Linked DNA regions of Arabidopsis thaliana. The protein of the gene in region 2 binds, or shares a complex with, the protein of the main gene of each other region. Each region holds a gene or a part of one and is shown on either strand. Other genes may lie near its edges.

Region 1 (7,870 bases), on a different chromosome or scaffold from region 2:
GATATTTGACATAAAACAAACGACAATGATCATCCATAGAGAGACAGAGAGAAGGCGATAGATCCATGATTGATGTGTGTTTTTTCCAACAGATGTGGTCGTGCGTCATTTTGGGAACAATTGTAGTTGTAGTTTTCGCTTACTCTTCATATTTTCTTTATTTTTATTTTCTCATTATGAGTTTTTTATGTGAAAAATGTATATGTTTTGTGGTACTTCATCTTCATGATCTACATTTTTCACTCCGTAAACATAGCCGCTTTCTTCTTGAAAACGCATATTTTCATCAGAGTTAAAGAATTCATCAAAAATGTAACGTACGATATGTTTTGTTACACACCTTATGAGAACCATTTTTTTTTCTCTAACAGAAAGTTTATACTCTTTGACTAAAATTAGAGTTGTTGTCAAATAAGATTTAAAAATATATATATAATCTATATATGTATGTTTATACTTTGATTGAAAGGAATGTAAGATGTTTAAATGAGAAACTAAAACAGAAATGTAGGAATGTTACCACCGATCGATATTCTTAGCTTTATTTTCATACTACTGTTTTTACTTTTTACAGTTTCTTTTAAGAATCACATGTGAGGTCAAGGATGAGAATTATAATCTCACTTCATTCCTTAAATTTTGCTGTACTCCTTTCTGCAATAAATGTAGTGCTCTCCATTATATATAGGATGAGTTTTTGTTTAGTTGATGAAAAAAAAAAGATGGATGAATTTAGAAGCAATAACATAAGGGACCGCCGGGACGTGCAAGGTACGGCCGTGGTAGCTGGCTAACACAAACTCCCATGCATATCTCTTTATATATTTTACACAAGATCTATATTTCTTGAAGATTAGTTTTAAAAAGAATTCTTACATATTAAACTACATTTCATACATGTCTTTTTAGTCGTTTTTATTTTCATTTTACACTCACCATCTTCCACTTTAAAACACTTCTCTAAAGTTTTAAACCAATGATAATTTTATTTTATTTTTTATAGTGTGAGATAATGTATTCTATTAATTATACATTTATAATTTGTAGTTCACAATTCATTTACCGTAATCAATGTAGAATACATAGAAATAACAATAAAATCAATATATATGAAACAAAAGCAAAAACAAGAAAACCGTTTGTGATGAAATGGATGTCATGAAATTTTGTTGTTGTTGTGGACATAAATATTGATTTTATTGATATGATAACATTACAAGATTCTGAAATAGTCACTACGTACTAATAATAAATTTGGAAATAAAGGAGAAGTGGAGATCCCACCTACGCCAAATATTGAATGCATCACCGCTTTTTGCGTTCTTCCACATACTGGATTATTTCATTTTATCCTTTTTATTTTCATACATTCTCACTTATCGATCTCATTAAATATTTCCTTCGTTTCCTTTTAATCTCAAGGACTTGTCTAACCGGTGACTAGCTTGTGGCCGTGCTGAGTTTGCATCGTCGAACAAAACTCATAAAATCCTATCTGACGCAGTCGCACAACAGTTTATAATTAGACGTAATTCGTTGACAAATTGCCCTATAGATATATACAGTATACATTAACTAAATCTATCCTCTATCACCTCCCTATTTCTTAGTAAACAATAAAAGAAAGAAATAAAGTTATTGTGGGTATGGGAATGCATTAAAAGTGCCGAATATGCATAAAAAATTGGTACACCTTCCAAAATATGTAATATGGGGACACTTAGCTTAGAGTTGAGACTATAAATACAGCAATATGATCCAAGGTCAAGCTCCTCTATATATATATATACGTACTTAACATTACAATACATATAACATACATGATACATTATAACACATATGTAAAGGAAGATGCATACCTATGGATGTAAATTTCAGATTGAGTAGTAGAGAAATAGCTATAAAGCTCAGGAGGGATAGCGCCATGGCTCACCAGTGCTGTATGTTTTGTATATGCGTACATGTATATCTGTTGGCGCTATCCATCCTGAGTTCCATAGCTTCTTCTTGCTTATATGTGATTCCTACTTCATTCCCTCCTTCGTTTAGCTTCTTGTATACAAGATATGGTAATGGGTAAGTTTATTATTTGCATGTAAATATTTTACCTTTTTTTATATAGAATTGTTGAAGTTCAAATCATATAGAAAATTGTGTCGAAAGTGAGAAAAATCGCAGGTATTGTCAATTTGAGGTTAAGAACACATTAAGTATTAAATAGTGTGGTCTTACAAGTTACAACTTACAAATATCTGGATTTCACACATCTAAGCAGTTTGTTAGAATTACATTGTTACTGCCTTACTTTTTTTTTTTTTTTTTTTTTTTGTAAATTTATGCTTAAGACTACTGGTGGACTTTTATTAAGAATATGTATATTATCCAATATGTGTGTGAAAGGGATGGTAAATAAGTAATATCGCCGTGTGCTAGAGCCAGCCAGCGATTGAGCTGTGAATATGCAATGTTAGAAGATGGATTCTCTTTGTCGAATTGAGAATGGGAATCTTGAAACTAATGTTACAGGATTCCAAATTTCCTGGATTCTTTCTCTCGTCCATATTTTCTACACAACAAGTCATTAATAAACTTTCTCTTGGGATTTTCGGCATTAGTCTTTTTTGTTCCTATAATTTCAACATAAACTTTCGTTACATGTAACACATTAAAGAGTTGGCCAATCCGGCACTTGACCAAAAGGTCATGACATATACACATAGAGAACTTTACGAGACACCCTTCTCTTTAGTCCTTGGGATCCAGATTGAACGATTAACTATTTATTAACAACGTCTTTTATCCAAAAAAAGGCCACTCATTTGTAAAACCCTAATCCTAATCATAGCCCCAGTGAGTGAAGTTGGCAATAAAATCATCAAGTTGATCTTTGAAAGGTCACTGCATACTTCAGATCAACTGATCAGACACAAGTGCCTAGCCATCCCCCACTCCTGCCAATTCTCGAGGAACACATGTTGCTATAAAAGAAGTTTGCGAGAAAAAACGATAACAACTCCGAAAATTGTAAAGAGAAGTGTGGTTGCCTAAATGAATGCATTACACAATACAACATGAAAACATACGACTGTTTTGTTTGTGTTGAACAGAGTCAAAAAAAGAAGGAAGAGAAGCAAAAAAGGGACTTCTGGTGTTGAAAGAAGTAATCAAGATGAATGCACTCACCTGAAATCATCATAGCACCAATTTGCAATGCATTTTGCAGTTAAATATCAGCTTCCTTCAATAAAACAAAAAACAAACATTTCACATCGTGAAAAACAAACTAAAAATAAACCGGAGATGCATGAATAATAGATCCCCAAAGAAACAGAACAAGTAGGGAGAAAAAAGGGGTAATTTTGCTCAAGGTCAAAGTGAACAAAAACCTACCTCTTTTTTTGTATCTCCAATATGAGGATTCATAGAACATTTTACTAAAATTCCCTCCTTAACACACACAAAACTCTTAGAACACATAACAGCTGATTCATTCATTCCTCTCTTTCTCTCAATATGGACGAGACCGGTTTCCCCCATGGTGGTTTCTGTCTGGCCCTGAACTGTAGTTGTCTCTTCTTCTGTCTCCCCCACCACCACCATAGCCACCACCTCCTCCTCCTCTACCCCCACCTCTGCGACATTCACAAGTTTGCAAGGACAACATTATTAGATCAGACACAGACATCTCTAATTAAAACCAGCTTACTACGTAAGATGAAGTGACTCAACACACAACAAAGACGAGTCTTATAGAGCATGGAAAACCAGATAAAGATACAACTTATATGGGGAATTACTAGGAGCTTATAAGAAGCATGAACAAACAACAGATCTCTTCACAACCAAGAGCAGCCACAGCTATAGGTTACAAGATAACTACATAGATTTATTTCCTATGGCATGAACATAGACCTAAGGCATAATTTGATGACATACGAACTCCCAACCCTTTCTGTCATACCCAGATGAGTGTACAAAGCAAATCCCCAGTAGGATACAAGATCCAAACAGTCTTCAGAGACAAGGAACATAAACTTAGCATTGCAAAAACTCATATTCCCTACTAAAATTATAAAGCTAAAAGCCTAAAACAACTAGAGTACAAACACCTATAAGATGGAGCAGGTGGTAACAGCTAAATGGTAACAAAAAAGAATGCTGATAAATGATCAGGACAGCTACCTCTGGTCAAAGGTAGGAGCACGGGGCGCAGACTTTTCTGCCATCGTTACACTAATCTTGTTCCCCCTCATTTCGTAATCTACAAAACAATCCACCACCATTCACGAAACAGAACTTTTAAACAATTTTAAGCTAGACAGCAATTCCATAGTACATACTGTTGAAAAAGCCGCCTGCAGAGTGTGCAGCGCTGGGATCTTCATAAGCCAGACAGGCGTCACCTTTATAGTTACCCTTCTCATCAGTGTAAATCTTAATATTATAGGGCCACTGATCTTTGTAACCACGCTTCTGCTTAATTCTTCCAACCTAAAATAGATCCAACCAGACACACTTTATCAGCACACCAATAAACATGTACACAAACAAGAACTTAATAACTTATAGCAAGGGAAAGGCTTATTCCAAGATATAAAACACAACAGAAGTAAAAGACCAGTGTTATTACTTGGCCAATGCCACCAAAGAGATCCTTGAGTTCATCAGTTGTCACATCCGGAGGTAAATTAGAGATGTATATTCTAGCATTATCACAATTATCATCACAATCAGCATCGCACTGCTTGACTTTTTCAGTAGCTGCATCTTCATAACTAGCTTCCTGCCGTCGAGGAGCACTACCACCATCATAGCCGCCACTCCTACCACCACGACCACCAGTGCTCGGTGCATCACTGCCATAACCCCCTCGTGGACCACCATATGACGGCGGGCCACCAGAATAGCTTGTAGGCGGGGGAACAGCTTCCATTCCATAACCCGTGGGTGGAGGATAACTTCCAGAACCATCGTAGGATGGAATAGCTGCAGCAGGAGGAGGAGCCTGACCATACGAACCATTTTCCCTCTGACTACCACTACCATAGCTACCACCACTCCTACTTCCACCATCATATCTACTACTCTCATAGCTCCTACCACTATCGTTTCTACCACCACGACCACCCCCACGATCACTGTCACCTCCACCTCGGCTATATCCACCACCTCCACGATCATTAGCACCAGAACTAGTACCAGAAGGAGCAAGTGCACCACACTTGTTACATTCAACTCTCCTTGCAAAGTTCACGTTCCCACAACTATACAAACAGTTTCGAGGGTAAACAATTTCAAAACATGCTCCCACAAAGGAATTCAACAGCTAATTCAATTCATTACATATGCAGAAAGAATGGAATCCCAAATAATTTGCAATCATTACCTGGGGTTGGGACAACGCCAATCTCCATCTCTGCCTCCGCCGCCACTTCCTCTTCCACCGCGATCACCTCCTTGATATCCACCACCTCCACCGCCTAAATCAAAACGAATCATCGAAATAGTGAGAAACTAAAGATTTAACAAAAGTAGCTCAGCAAGGAATGGAGAAATCTAAAGAATCATAAGGTTATATCAATCAGATCTGCAACAATCTAAATCACAAACCTCGATTTCCTCTACCACCGCCTCCACCGTAACCACCGCGTCCGCCGTAACTACCTCCGCCAGAGGCACCGCGTCCACCATATCCAGCATCACCACCTCCATAACCTCCCCCTCCGCCGTATCCATCACCACCGTACGACGGAATAGGCGCACCTCCGCCGCCGTCTTGATTGTACATCCCAGCCATGACCTAGGGTTTGCGATAAACAACAGACCAAAACTCTTAACGAATCGTGTGAGAGCCTTTTTAGACGTAGAATAAAAAATCTCGCGTTTTATTTATATTTCTCTCAAAAATAGTGGAACTTTATTATTGCATTTATCTTAAATCTTAAATTCTTTTACATCTTATCTTTTACCGACCGGTTTCCCAAAATAACTGGACTTGCTTTTTTTATCAAATAAGACAACATGGTTCTAAGGCCCATAATCATCTAACCTTTACGAAGGCCCAGCCCAATAACAGTTATTTTTTACGTAGCCCAATACAGTTTTGAAATGTGGCTATTAGAGAGAAATTAGAGGCAAAATCCACCAAAATTTTGCTATAACTACAACTTTAAAAGAGTCCGGACAGTAGGAACAATAAGAGGAGAGGCCAGCTCTGAAAGAAATTTGGAGTTTGCGAAGATGAATGAGAAGTGTCAAGTTGAATCGAGAACCGGCAATTATCCTCAGAAGGATCAACAGTAGTGATCAAACCAAGTCCACCAAAGTTGCAGCTTTCTGCACTGTGATCATTTTGCTGGTACAAGCTATTGAACGCGTATGAAACGTTGCCTGGCCATCTGATGCCTGAACACGACCCGCCAGGAAGTATCGATGTACAGTCCGCAACAGCACACGCTTCTAATGCTCTTGCTGACGCGTTTGACAAGTCCTTGTTATTGTTCACCACACACCACTTAGGAGGAAGGTACTGAACATTCTGCGCGTTTACCTGATTCTTATGGTTGAAACTGAAATTGTATTTGGCTTGACCGTCGAAAGTGAACACTCCCCAGTGCCTCTCAAAGTTCCCAGCAGATAAGTTTCTCTGATCTTCGTCCAAGAGACTTTCAATGTAGGTTTCAACAGGAGGACGCGGGAGAGAGGCCGTCTTTTTCTCCAAGTGAACTATCAGTCCTTTAAAGAACGCCTCAGCAGTCAGTGATGTTGCATTTTCTGCTCCATCTGTAGGCCAACCGATCTTTGACACAACGATATCCACCTCCGAAAACCCAATTGTGAACAATGCAGAGACAAGTGTGTCATAGCTTAGATCAAAGCTGTTTCTGTAGGTTTTACGTCCGTCTTTGTGAGCCTTTGCTGTTTCTTTAAAGAGGCTAAAGTCAAGGGAGATGTTCTTGTTCTGGTGAAAGCTTAGGAAAGGAGAGATTGTCACAAAAAAAGGAGAGTGGTGCTTTGTGAGAAAGGAGAGGAGTTCAATCATCGTCTTGTTGAGGTCAGCCCTAAAGTGTCCTGAAGAAGGTCGACCAGATTCAGAAAGAAAGGAATCAAAGCTTGAGGGGACTACAACCTTCACTTCATTTGCCAAGTTCGCCTTAACTAAAGCATTTTGGATATTCATAGCTGCCCCAATCACAAAAGGCTTATACTGATTGCCATAGCTCTGGAGAAATGGCTCTTCTCCAACTGCTACATACCTGAAAATCAATTCTTTTCTTTAATGATAATTTCACAATAAGAAGATTGGCAATTTGGCATTGAAACAAATCCGACTCATTCACATTCCATAAGTTAAATTCCAGCTTAAAAATCTTAAATCTATATATATATAACTGGATAAGCAGAAGAGAAGGAGAAAGAAGATACTCGATTCGAACTCTGTTTCCACCGTTGAAGTAACGAGTGACATTGTCATGTACCCAGCTCTCTGCTACCTTTACGGATGCATTCAAGCTCTTGAGCATCGAATTTTGGATTCCGATAGTGACACCAATATTAGAACCAGAGAGAGCTCGGAGAACTTTTGGGTCGGCATCGAAGAGCTTCACTTTGACAATGCCGTTTGATTTCAGAAGCTCTACAACCTTTGAAGGCGGAAGAGGGTGCGACGCTTCTGTCCCCCAATTTATGCCAACTGCTCTGACGGTTGTTCCCGTCAAGCTCAACCCTGCCGTGACGGCGAGGAGGAGGAGAAACAGCCGACGAGCCATCAAATCCAGTGAATCTCGTACTTCCACGATAATGTCGGGCCGAGAAATTCAATGTTTAAAAAAACAAAACACTGCGTGCCGTTTCACGACTCAGCATCTCA
Region 2 (6,495 bases):
TACGGTGGGATCTCATATATCTACTAAGAAAGACAAGTCTGCTGCATCAACAACAAATGAAAAGGTATAGATTTGAATATGCTTGAGGTCTGTGTGTTTTTAAATTCTTAGGAGCCGAGAGAACAGAAGGATTATATACATTGTTTAATTAATTTCGATCATCTTACAGCAGAAACATGTTGATTAACTTTTGAATCTTTTGATCAGGTAAGCAAAAGCTCAAAGAGGAAAAGAGCGAAGAACATGACACCGGTCTCGGTTTCAGAAGTCCCAAAGCTCTTCACTTCGACTTTTAGGCTTCCCAAGTTGAAGTCTCCATCTAATGGAGCCATATAAATTATTAGAGAATTTAGGTTATTGAAATCTGCATGTAACCTATTTGTATTTAGGATCAAGCCCCTGATGTATATCATGCAACTGACCAGTGACCACACCCATTAGCATCTAGTATAACTCTTACATTAGTTTCTTTAGGAAGCTCATATTGCATCTAGCAGCTGTGTTTATTTCCTCTGTATTATTGTGTCTTGAAGCTTAACCAAAGAAGAAAACAGCAATGGCGGAACATCTGCCAATGCAACAAAGATTTCAAGCGGCTTTGAAGAAGATTTTTTTTCCGGTTTTATTTTGTTTATAGCTGAGAATTCCCTCTTGTATGGATTTGATATTTTGAATAAGATCATTTGCTTCTTGGTATTGGTGTTGTATGTCGAATCACTGAGTGTGAAAGTGAGCTTTCTGCTTCGCACCAATTCAAATCCAACTTCGATTCTGTATACAACAAGTATGGCTTATTGCAGAAACGTTTCGTATTTAACCGGTTTCTTCTTTAAACCGCTAAATTTCGGTCCGGTTCAGTGGAATGATTTTGCTTTTGGGTTTAAACGACGCCGTCTCCAAGCCTCCTCTTATTTTTGGATTAGGGCACAATTGACGGAGGAACACAGCGGTTTCTCTTCTCAAATCTCTCACAAAAATTTCATCAAAGGTTTCGACTTTTTTTGATTTGGTAGAAGAAGATGCCACCTTCGGAGGATGTGAAAGCTATGAAGATGAAAGAGGAGGCTGAGGAAGACAATAAGAGCTTGAGTTCCTTTGCGAAGAAGAAACCCACGAACGGTAACAATGCTGGTTCGAAGAAATTGAAGAAAGAAGAGAACGATGACGATGATGATGATAACAAACCTATCAAGTCATCTGTATCTGGGTCTCGAGCTAAGCCAGTGAAGAAGAAGGAAGAGATTGATAAAGACGATGAGAAGAAGCCTGTTTCTAAGAGGAATTCTTCTGTTGGTGTCTCAAAGGTTCGATTTTTATTTCTTTCTCTCTCTGTTTGAGTATAAATATTGAGGATGGTAAAATATTTGATGAGGCATTGTTTTGATTATGAGTCTCTCTCTTTGTTTATAGGAGAATAAGAAACCAGAGAAAGAAGAAGAAGTAAAGAAAAAGAGAGAAAGAAAAGTATATGATTTGCCTGGTCAGAAGAGAGAGCAGCCTGATGAGGTATTTTTTTGCTGCTCTGTTTCTCTGCTTTTTAGATTTGTTGTTGAATTCGTCTGAAGAATTTCTTTTGTTGATTTTGCAATTCTGCAGAGAGATCCACTTAGGATTTTCTACGAGTCACTTTACAAACAAATTCCCACTAGCGACATGGCTCAGATTTGGTAAGCTCTTCTATTCCTTTCTCTGCCTTACATTGTTCTGCAACTTTAAAACACTTACACTTAATGTTTTGTGTTTGGTATGTATCTGATTATTTGTGTTTGATCACTCAATCTGCAAACTGAGTCCTACACCTTAAATTATTCTTTTGGGACTTGATGCATACTTGCGTTTGATTTTCGATGGTCTCTTGTGTTTTGCGACACGGTTTAAGCTAGTTCGCATAAATTTTGAACATCATAATTGGACTCACATTGTATGTAAGAAAGGGGAGTCCTTTCAAACCAGTCACTCAAAGCATTGATTATATGATCTGTGATGGTTATGTGTAATATTTGCTTTTAGATTGCTTTGTTTATTTGAAAACCCTTTTGTGGTTTTGATCACAGGTTGATGGAGTCTGGATTGCTTCCAGCCGAAAAAGCAAAGAAAGTTCTTGAGAAGAAACTGCAAAAGGGTGGAAAATTAAGTTCTCCAGTAAAATCTGCTGCTTCTACTCCAAGAAGCAACTCCAAATCAGTGACCGTGAAGAAGAAGGAAGTACAAAAGTCGCCATCTGAAGCTTTGTCAAACAAAAAGAAGGGAAATGATTCGAAACCAACCACGAAGAAGAGGAAGAAGAACTCTGATGATGACGACTCAGATGATGATTTTTTGGCTAGCAGAGTCTCTAAAAAGGCTAGAGCCAAGTAGGTTGAATTAAAAGACTGAAATCTCATTGTGTTATTTGTAATCGTTTCTTAGGGAGTCAATTTGTAGAATGCTTGAAAGGTGAATTCTTTAAGAGTAATGAGAGAGATGGCCAATTGTTTCTGATCTTATCGTGTACTTCTTTAGTTATTAAGCAAAGACTTAATCACGTTTGGTTTAGAGCATGATAGTTACTCTTCGTCCATGTCACTACTTTGTAACCTCGTCATTCTGACTAGCGAAAAAGCCGTTGAACTGATCTTTGAGGCACTTTTCCTTGGAGCTTTAGTCTTCGATATGACTCTCTGATATGGCAAGGTCTAATAGGTCCTGATTCCTTCCTTTCCCTCATAACAACTCGAGCTGTTTCCACAAGGTCGCCAACAAACATCTTTGCGATACCACGCACAACGATGTTCATAGTGTCGTCCATCTTCGGACCCCCTGTGATTCTCTGTACCAACTTCTCCATGTCTGATTTCTTAAAACCAGATCTTCTGAAAGATTCATATCTGCTCATTTGTTCCTCTGTAAATTGTGATAAAATCTTCTGCATCTTGTTGGCTCTAGTCACAGGATCAGCACCAGTTATGTTTTTGGTGAACTCAACTTCATCTTTGTTCTTCGCTTCAGCAACAACGGACGTTTTACATTTCTTCACAGCTCTCTCATCTCCTTCAAGAGTCTGCTCGGTTTCAACAGGTGATTCCTCTTGCTCCTCCATTGCTGCTTCAAACGGATCCTTCGAATGCTTCATTCTTAATAAAACCTTAACGAAAATCACATATCTTTGGATCTTAAAACTCCAAAATTCAGCCAATTTTTTTGTTGCACATCCGACCACACTAGAAAAAATCCGACATGAACATGAACTCAAAGAAATCAATTTTTTGTACTTGTAATTACAAGTACCTTGGCACTGGCTGATCTTTCAGACAATTGCAGTTACAAGTAACCCGCTCGTTGCTACTAGCAAAACAACAAGACCTTGCGTTAAAGGCCATTTATTGTCAAGCCTATTTTTTAAGAAGCCCAAATGTAAAAGTCGGTGGGAAATGAAGTATCTTTATTTATAGAGGCAAAAGTTTAGCTTCCTTTATACTAATTTACTCGATGTGGGACAATTGAGAGAAGTGTAAAATTTATATACTACACAGTAGCTTGAGAAGCAAGGACGTATTATCTCAAATGGAAAATACAAGACACCCAAAATAAATGGAAACTTCAAACTTTCTTTGAACAAATTACTCAAACAAAAAACACATTTAAACAAATTTCCCATTTTTTCAATGTTTTTCAATCAAATTTAAATAGAGAGATTTCCAAGAGTCGTTTCCTTGTCTTTTAAGTAAAATGTTTGATTTGGTGGATCAAGTCTCATAATCTCCCTCCTCTTCTTCTTCAACATCATACTCACCTTCCTCATCAGCAGTAGCATCTTGGTACTGTTGGTATTCAGCGACCAAATCATTCATATTGCTCTCAGCTTCCGTAAACTCCATTTCGTCCATTCCTTCTCCTGTGTACCAATGCAGAAACGCTTTACGCCTAAACATAGCCGTGAACTGCTCACTCACTCTCCTGAACATTTCTTGAATCGACGTCGAGTTACCCACAAACGTCGCCGCCATTTTGAGCCCCTTTGGTGGGATATCACAAACGCTGGATTTCACGTTGTTTGGGATCCACTCAACGAAGTAAGACGAGTTCTTGTTCTGTATGTTTAGGATTTGCTCGTCGACTTCTTTTGTGCTCATCTGTCCTCTGAAAATAGCAGAGGCTGTGAGGTAACGTCCGTGACGTGGATCAGCTGCACACATCATGTTTTTGGAGTCCCACATTTGTTGAGTCAGCTCAGGAACGGTGAGTGAGATGTATTGTTGCGAGCCACGGGAAGTGAGGGGCGCAAAACCCACCATGAAGAAATGGAGACGAGGGAATGGGATTAGGTTCACCGCGAGTTTCCTGAGGTCAGAGTTTAGTTGTCCGGGGAACCTTAAGGAGCAAGTCACACCGCTCATTGTTGCGGAGATCAAATGGTTCAAGTCTCCAACTACATCATCATGCAATGTATCAGAATTAGTTTTAAATACATTTTGGGTTAATGGAGGATAAGAATTGGGTGTACTTACAGCTAGGAGTGCTGAGTTTGAGGGTACGGAAGCAGATATCGTAGAGAGCTTCATTGTCGAGGACCATGCATTCATCAGCGTTCTCTACAAGCTGATGGACAGAGAGAGTTGCATTGTAAGGCTCAACGACTGTGTCAGAGACTTTAGGAGATGGGAAAACAGAGAAAGTGAGCATCATTCTGTCTGGATACTCCTCTCGGATCTTCGATATCAATAGTGTTCCCATTCCTGAACCTGTGCCTCCTCCCAACGAATGGCACACCTGAAACCCTGTAAAATAATGCAGCCCCATGATTCACATAGTATTGGTTCCATCGATGAGACGAAAAAGTGTTCATATATAGTCAAGCAAACATCTTGTTACTAGTCCTTGCTAACTAAATCAACTATAATGTTTATGTGAATCTACAATGCTTTAAAACAATAATCAATGAATCTACAATATGCGTTAAAAAATATTTCTCCCCAATAATAACAATGCACACTAGTAGTCATAGACTCATAGTTATAATTGAAGTTAAATAATCAATGTATAAAACGAATCACGTGAGACCTGACCAAAAGTAACTAAAAAAACGAATCACGTGAGATTGTTGTTTGGGCTCCACAAGCATTATCTATAAACTCTAAAGGCAAAAGAGATTTTTATTAACTTTTTACTACAAAATTCCAAGAAATCTATATGATGTAGTAGGACCACTCCATCTTTTATCCCGTAATCACGGTGCCTTGAAAATGTTTTGATCACGACATCACAATGATATAATATCTTATCTCTGAAGCTTTAATATGAAGAAAAAAACTTGACAAAAAAATATCTCAATACTATACAAAACAGCTTGGCCCTACCAATAATAAGTGCTAACATCCCACTCCACAGAAAACAGCACTTGCATTTCAATTATTTCGTTGCTGTCTTGCAATTACATTAAATAAGACGATTTGATTGATCGTATTACTGAATAAGAACCCACATGCACTGATGCACACCAATAATAGATAAACAAGATCATCAAAGTAAAAAAAAAAAGAATAAAAAAAACATACTATAGTACACTTACTAAACCGTGACCTAATTTTACTAATTATGTAGATAGATATCATACTATATTACAAGAAGAGATCTATGGTGATAAACGATTATCGATACGGTGACGTCAGACAAATTACGAATGAAATGATTATTGAATCAAACTAAATCCAGTAAATATACGAATTATGATGCACGACATCAAACACTATAGAAAATTTGCGTATAATGGAAAATTCAGAAAAAGATATATATAGTACCTTGAAGGCAATCGCAGTTCTCAGCTTCTTTACGAACAACATCAAGAACAGCATCAATAAGTTCAGCACCTTCAGTGTAATGACCTTTAGCCCAATTATTACCAGCACCAGACTGACCAAAGACAAAGTTATCAGGACGGAAGATCTGACCAAACGGTCCGGATCTGATACTATCCATAGTACCAGGCTCAAGATCCATAAGAACAGCACGAGGAACGTATCTTCCACCTGAAGCTTCATTGTAATAGACATTGATACGTTCAAGCTGGAGATCTGCAGTGTCTCCACTGTAACGTCCGGTGGAATCGATGCCGTGCTCGTCGCAGATGACTTCCCAGAACTTGGAACCAATCTGGTTACCGCATTGACCACCTTGAATGTGAAGGATCTCTCTCATTGTGTTAGTGTGTGTAGTGGTTCACAAGATCGAGAGAGAGAGAGATGGTGAAGGAATATGAAAGATGGGAGTGACAGCTAATATAACCAATTGTCTCTGTTATTCATCACTTCCCTCGCTTGCGAGGTTTTTATTCTCTGTTTTTTTTCACCCCACCTAACACTTTTTTATCTTAGTCATTTTACATTGTCTTATTCACTCAAAATTTACCGCCGAAAGGTTTTTAGATTGGCATAATTTCAGATTTCAGATTCAGTGTTTAATTAGCAACTTGGAGCATGCATGTGCATATATTGCCAATGTATGTTGTTGACATGTTGT
Region 3 (6,813 bases), 4.9 Mb from region 2:
ATCTATGTCATAATGCAGTAGAAAAAAGTGAAAATAGAACAACAACCTAGCTTTCTAGAAGCCTTGGCTCTTAAAGAAGAGACAGATTCCTCTATGCCAACGTGTAGCTTGCTTCCTTTACCCCCCAGGCTCTTAACTATAATTTTCATGGATCCTCGGGTCGGTAACTTTCCTTGCTGTTTAATGGCTAGCTCATTGTCATGTGGATACCATAAAGCTTTGGGCCGGTGAAAATTTGCTATGTCTTTACTGCAACGAGTTAACTCAACACATTTTAATAGAAACTACTAAAATGGATGTAGAAAAGCACATAATTGCATTTGAAGTGTGGAAACATTTTAGAGGACACAAAAGAGTGGAAATAAAAACGATATGCGAGTGACCACTTACTTGCTCAATTTACTCTTCATCGTCTGCAGTTTAATCGCTGGTACTGAATGAAAAACTCTCAAACTATGAACACTGGATTTATTAGTATTTGCCTGCAGTTGCTGAGAGCTTTTCCCATTCATATAAAACTTGTCATTGGAAAGATTAAATTGCCACCCAGAATTTGATTCACAGCCTTCTTGAAAGGTTTCATCCTTGGATTTTGAAGACCGGGATACAATCATAGCTCCAGCATGAAGTTGAAGATTTTTGCTTTCCTCGTTATCGAAAATTTCAAAGACCATTTGCTCATCTTGAAGATCAAAAATTAGTTTAGATCTGCTCAACTCTTTCTCTGAGTCCCATATTATACTATCTAACCATGCCTCATCCCCCAAATCCCTCTCTCGCAATACAAGTCTGCTAAAGCGCCCAAGGGCGTCTTTTTCAAGTCGCTTAATCTTCTTTACTCCAGCTTCATCATTTCCACTAAGATGATTCTCATCCCACTGGGATTCTAATCTTAGCAGTTGTGGATGATGTCTACTTTTGTTAGTGGACTCGTTTGTTGACTGGGAACCTCTTGAGCCAAAAGACTCCAACAGATTGGCAGAAAAAGGCACAAACATATTATTGTCCGCTTGAACTTGCACTCTAGAGTTCACCACATTCAAGCTTTCTTGTTCAGTCTCTGAATTTGTTCCTTTAACCAGCATACCTTCCGGCTCAAGTCCAGGTTCGAAGATCTCACCAGAATTACCACTAATTTCAGGAGAATGTTCCCAAATAATCCGACGTTCCCATTCATGCTGGTCAAGAGGAAAAACTTGCATCGATAATTGAGATTGGCACAGAGATGAATTATCATCTATGAAGTCTTGCTTCAACAGTTCACCCATAATACATGAATCTCTTCCTAGCTTCGTAAATTCTCTTGATTCTGGTGTGATACCACCTATTGTGCTAGCTTTTACCAGCTGTAAACCCTCTCTAATTGGAAAGGGAACATCCAGCTGAATCAGATCAGCTTGTTCTACATGAGTATCAATCCTACCATGGCTCTTCAGGAGTACCTCCTCATCGTCTTCAACAAGCTCAGATATATCCATAGATTTGTATTTGTCTGTACGAAAGAAGTCTATGATGTAAGAGTTCCACATGAAGAAGTGAATTACAAAAAAAAAAAAAAAAGGAATGCTGAGACAACAGAAACGATAAGAAAAGGAGAAAATTGGACAAAACATGGAATTTGCCTGGAAAATTAAATAGAATGAATCACTTCATATTTGTGGCATCGAATACACAGATCTAGCACATTCTTGCCAAAAAGAGACTGAGCCGCATAAAAGGAAAAGGTCTTTTTGTTTCAACACTTAGCCCTTTAGAATTGAAAGGGAAATAAAAAATGGAGAAACGTTTTTTGATGGACAGCACCAAAAAAACTCAATAGGGTTCGAGAAGAAACAAAAAGAGGAAGAACATTCCAGATCACATACCTCTACAAGTGACATATCTATTTTCTCTCCTATCCCGTTTCTGTGGAGGCTCATGGATAGCAAATATCTCGGAGAACTGTAAGATAACCATACCATCTTCCACATACAACGTAGGCAGTGGGGTGGCGCCTTTGTCATCCAATGTACCTTCCAATAACTCATCCACCTCCTCCTGAATGTTTTGATGAGATCACTAACATAACAAAATCATCCCACAGCAAAAATATGTTATTTGAGACACAATTTCCCTTTATTTTGAGGGGAAACTGACCTCCTGGACATCTTCGGTGTCCATATGATCCTCTTTATCCAAGATGCTAGCCTCCTCTTCATACTCCAAGGCCTTGTCTTCCTTTAAGACAACTGCAACGCAATTTTTTTTGTCTTGTTAAGTTTATATTCTCAAGGACTTAAATCACACTAGACTACAGCTTTGCAAGTAATCATTTGCCTGAGCTCAACAAGTATAATTACAGGAAGAATGACTTAACAAAACCAATTTGAGTGATGAGATAACACAACAAAAGTACACTTTACTATGGGATAATTGTTTTGTTCAAGAAACGGAAATTTCGAAATGCAAACCTGGTTCCCTCTTTTCAGTTTCAAGAGATTTTTCAACTGGCGCTTGCTCCTCCTCTTGTTCTTCTTCCTCGTCATAATCTTCATCATCAAACACAGAAGCTCTGGACTTTAAACTACCCAAAGCAACTGCAGTCGAAAAATACTCCTTTTTTGGCAGTAGATGATCTTCCTCACTGACTACTTGAACTTCGGGCCCATCGTACTCTTCATCAATATCCTCATAATCAACAGCATCCTCAGCTTTTCTATCATAATCTACACAACATATCACCACAGTCAATGACGCTGATGACCAGGATTTGGTAGTGTAAATAGTGTCAGTATGTAAATGCTACGGGCAGGAATGTTGCATATTTAAAGATTGTAAACGTGAGTAGTTAAAATGTTTATGCATATAAATTACGCAAGACACTTTCTTAAACAATCCAATAATAATTGGATTATGACTACAACGAAAGTAAGAAGAGTGCAAGACCATTGTGATGGAAACATTCACTGGGAGAAAAACTTTCTAGCAGGTTTCCTAGAAGCTACTCCAGTATGGTTTAAAGAAACGGTAGAATGAAAACTAGAAGTTAAATGAACAATAAAAACTGCATAAGATAGACGACCCTGGCAGACAACATCACCTTGCTCAGCTGGATCACTTGCTGTACGTTCTGATTTTGCCAATAACTGTTGAGTTTAGAAACACCATTATTGGCATCCCAGTACAAGAAAAAGAGGATTAAAAACCACATAAAAGACTCGCAGTTCACTCGTCTATAAACTTTAGAAGATAAAATATTAAAGAGTGTGTAGAACGTTACATTTATATCTGGTAGAGATGAACCCAGCTTATCTGCCAATGCAGAAAGATGTTCTTTGGCGTCCTGAAAAGTTTAAATGTTAGCATTGGCACAGGTATGCTTGGTGGAGAATTTGCAACTCATAGTTAATAAAATACATATATCCTAAGTCCAGAGAGAATAGACAGAAAAACTGAGACCGATAATGAAAATAATGTGTTCAACAAGGTCATCATACTGAAAGCGTAAAACAGATTACCTCATCAAGGTAATCAGCGTCCAAGTCCCCAGAGTTATCAACATTTCCAAAGATGAATCCAAGGTTAAAACCCCTGCTGTTGTCCTCATATTCATCATCGTCATCTGCAGCAGACATGTAAAATATTGGTGTTCACCAAACAAATCTTGGCAGACATGTAAAATATTGGTGTAAAATGGGAATGCATGTGATAACTGATTATCATCACGAGTATTCAGAAATCACAAAGATTGCATGTTAACACTCTTGTTAAACTGCTAAATCCAAGGTCACATAATCATTGGATTCCTCTCCATCATCTTATCAGGCTACAGTAGCCTCCATCTAGTGAAACTACTATTCCCATTCTCTTCGTCATCTAAGATCCTACAAACTCAATTCCCTCTAGAAATTTAGAAAAAATAATCTTAACTATACCCTAGAACATGTCCAGGATCACTCAAGACTGCTCCTTTTCTACTTAAAGAAATCCAAAATATTCAAAACCGTAAATCGGTCATGAGCTAGCCTAAATGCACCAAACACTAGCTAGACAGGGACATCTCTAGTTTCACAAACTGTAGTAATCCAAAATTCCACAACCTAATATTTCCAATCTCTTTGTCAATTAAGATCCTACAAACCAATACTCAGAATCACTCAAGGCTGTTCCTTTTCTACTTAAAGAGACTTAATCCGAAATATTCAAAACCGTAGAACAATCATAAGCTAGACAGGGGCATCTCCAGTTTCAGAAATCATGTCGACAATGGACTGGACCGGAAAAAAGAAAAGCAACAAACTTTGATAAAGAAAGCAACATATATATACCTGAGGAAGTCTCGTTGTGGGAACCCTTGCCATTGGATTCAGCCATATTCAAAGATTTAACTACAATGGTGACAATCGGGAGACGACAAGGCAATTGTCCTTCCCAAATCCCCAACCATTAAAACTCAATCAAAACCTTCAAAAGAAACAAAAAAAACTACACAATTACAAGCCAACCTAAACGGACCTGGAAACAAAAAAAGCTAACTTCTTTATCTGAAACTTCATCAAAAGAGTCTCAATTTGGCTTTAAAATCACAACCAAATCGAAACCCCATTGATCAATTTTCGAGTTAAGCTGAGTTGCAATCAAAGCATTGGATAAAATTGAAGAAGACGATACGATACCATTCACTGATACGAGATTGTTGGATTGGAGGGTTCTTTCTTGAAACCCTAATTGAGGGTACAAGTAAGCTTCGCCGGAAAGGTAAACCAGCTCAATCGGACGAGACGGTACGATGTCGGAGAGAAGTTCCGAGGTAAGCAAACTCTCAAATCGGAGGAAAAAAAAAAGTAATAACAAAAAAAAGAAGAAAATTGCGAAGCGACCAAGACAAGATTGTGAGGGCATTTATAAAAGTTTTATAACCCGACCCGAATAAAGTTTGAGTCCGGGTCTAATTTCTTAACCAGGAAAAATCAATTTCGTTGTTTGGTATGGAGGTGGTTAAGCAGAAATAGAGTCGGTTCTGAAGTAATTTTTGTTGTTGTTTAATCAGTGGTAATTTTACGAATTTAATAGATATATACCTATGATATTTCTTTAAAATATCTTTCTACCAAAATTGCAAAAGAAAATTGAATTTTAAAAGTATTATAAAAACATAACTGTTATAGTTCTACATTTAAATTTTCAATTTTTAATAATATTTTAATCACTTTAATTTTATTTTTTCGATCGACTAACATTCTAATATCCAAATTTAAGGCACACAAGTTTAATTGATAGTTTTATTTTTTTCATCGAATAACATCGGATGTGAAACTCTTTATTGCATACCTTGTACATATATAAAAATCAATAACATGTTGATTTTAATTATATAAAAAAATTTAATATTAAATAAAACCAGATTGAATAAAAATGGATATTAAGAAAATATATAGGTTCTTTTATTTTATGGACCACTGCGTCGGTAACTATGACGAAGTAAAACGGCAGTAGCCGTTAAAAAAAATAAAGTAAAATGATCCATATAGACAGATCGGAGATGTCGCTGAAAAAATAGAAGTGTCGTTGGAAAAAATAGAGATATTGATCTAACAACGTAGGAGTCGTGAAAAATATAGCGGCCTAAATGAACATAATCCAGCTTTTCTTCCATTGTCAGTTTTGAACAACCAGCAACGAATTTTATAATAAATTATGCCATTTATTTCTCATTTCGTTCTTTAATTTTTAGTCATCAAATTTAATCGCAACGACCAATACAAGAAGAACATGGTATAATCATACCAAATCATTGATTCAATATTACCTTATTAGATTTTATAAAATTCATTATCCATTCAACAATTGTACCTCAACATTTTCAAATGTACCTCAACAAGCAATTTTTTCTTTATTTAGTTTAACCTAAACAAGGAATTTATTTTTATTTTTACCATAACCATCATGAACTTTGTTGACTTGTTAAATGTCTCTATCTCCTTCTAACGAAATTATCAAAATCAATTTCTGTTCCTTATACTCCAACCAAATAGTGGTCCTGATTCTAAATCCTAGTTCTAAAATTAAGCCTTGTATTTTCTCTTTTTTATTAACGTAAAATCAAACAAAACAAATATCTCAAATATTTTGTTAAGAAAAAAGAATTCTTTATTCAACGAAAAATATGGATTAAAAAGAACACCAAAGCCACGTGCATTGTCACTTCCCAACTTTAGAAAAATTGTATTTATATAAACAAGTTTTATCTAATTAGCAGTTTTATGTTATTTTGTCTTTAATCTCACTTCACCGTCTCTCTTTCACTCAATCTCCGTGATTCATTTTTTCTCCGACGTTGCTTAATCCTCGAAATCTCCGGCGATGGGTGGTTGCGTCTCCTCCAACCTCCTTACTCCGACCGATGACAGCAGCTTCTCTCACCTCACCAGCTCCTCCTTAAGCCAACATTTCGTCAAGCTAACTTCCACCACTTACGGTCTTCTCAATCTCGACTCTTCTTCACCTTCTCCTCCGTCTCCTTCCTCCTCCTCCTCCGCCAAATCCGTTATCACGCCAATGACTCCGCCTGAGAGATTCACTATCAACGGTAAGGAGGCGGCGATGATGATGGTTAAGTCTGAGCCGACGACGGAGGTTATTAACTTCTGGGAGCTAATGTCAGGTTTAGACGGCGATACTTGTCGATTCTCTCCGATTCCGGTGAAATGTAATGGATTTTCCGGCGGATTAAAGAAAGAGAACTCCGATCCTAATTTGAAAAACCCTAACGATTACGAGGTTTTGAAACCGTTAGATCCGAAATTAGCGGAGGAATCTGAGAGGTTATGTGAC

The links. Proteins that work in one complex are often made in the same cells at the same time.
Region 1: TAF11b (region 2) and TAF15b share a complex: the UniProt entries of both Arabidopsis thaliana proteins name them as parts of the TFIID complex.
Region 3: TAF11b (region 2) and HAF01 share a complex: the UniProt entries of both Arabidopsis thaliana proteins name them as parts of the TFIID complex.

Annotation. Positions count from the first base shown.
Region 1 is NC_003076.8:23,635,058-23,642,927, forward strand, and holds TAF15b (TBP-associated factor 15B), read right to left. Parts: upstream 5,917-7,870; 5' UTR 5,798-5,916; coding exon 5,611-5,797; intron 5,481-5,610; coding exon 5,387-5,480; intron 5,265-5,386; coding exon 4,631-5,264; intron 4,492-4,630; coding exon 4,341-4,491; intron 4,262-4,340; coding exon 4,183-4,261; intron 3,633-4,182; coding exon 3,509-3,632; 3' UTR 3,391-3,508; exon of another isoform or gene 3,239-3,390; 3' UTR 2,358-3,238; downstream 1-2,357. Other genes in the region: AT5G58480 (O-Glycosyl hydrolases family 17 protein), read right to left, coding at 6,170-7,256, 7,426-7,769. UniProt on the Arabidopsis thaliana protein: TAFs are components of the transcription factor IID (TFIID) complex that is essential for mediating regulation of RNA polymerase transcription.
Region 2 is NC_003070.9:6,934,308-6,940,802, forward strand, and holds TAF11b (TBP-associated factor 11B), read right to left. Parts: upstream 3,360-6,495; coding exon 3,268-3,359; intron 3,114-3,267; coding exon 2,591-3,113; downstream 1-2,590. Other genes in the region: AT1G19980 (cytomatrix protein-like protein), read left to right, coding at 1-64, 208-336; AT1G19990 (nucleolin), read left to right, coding at 1,020-1,304, 1,411-1,506, 1,597-1,667, 2,055-2,358; TUB5 (tubulin beta-5 chain), read right to left, coding at 3,726-4,408, 4,488-4,757, 5,778-6,174. UniProt on the Arabidopsis thaliana protein: TAFs are components of the transcription factor IID (TFIID) complex that is essential for mediating regulation of RNA polymerase transcription.
Region 3 is NC_003070.9:11,851,909-11,858,721, forward strand, and holds the start of HAF01 (HAC13 protein (HAC13)), read right to left. Parts: upstream 4,858-6,813; 5' UTR 4,656-4,857; intron 4,444-4,655; 5' UTR 4,354-4,443; coding exon 4,308-4,353; intron 3,602-4,307; coding exon 3,498-3,601; intron 3,323-3,497; coding exon 3,260-3,322; intron 3,126-3,259; coding exon 3,080-3,125; intron 2,706-3,079; coding exon 2,451-2,705; intron 2,229-2,450; coding exon 2,137-2,228; intron 2,038-2,136; coding exon 1,866-2,037; intron 1,493-1,865; coding exon 391-1,492; intron 250-390; coding exon 47-249; intron 1-46. Other genes in the region: AT1G32760 (Glutaredoxin family protein), read left to right, coding at 6,343-6,813. UniProt on the Arabidopsis thaliana protein: TAFs are components of the transcription factor IID (TFIID) complex that is essential for mediating regulation of RNA polymerase transcription. Core scaffold of the TFIID complex.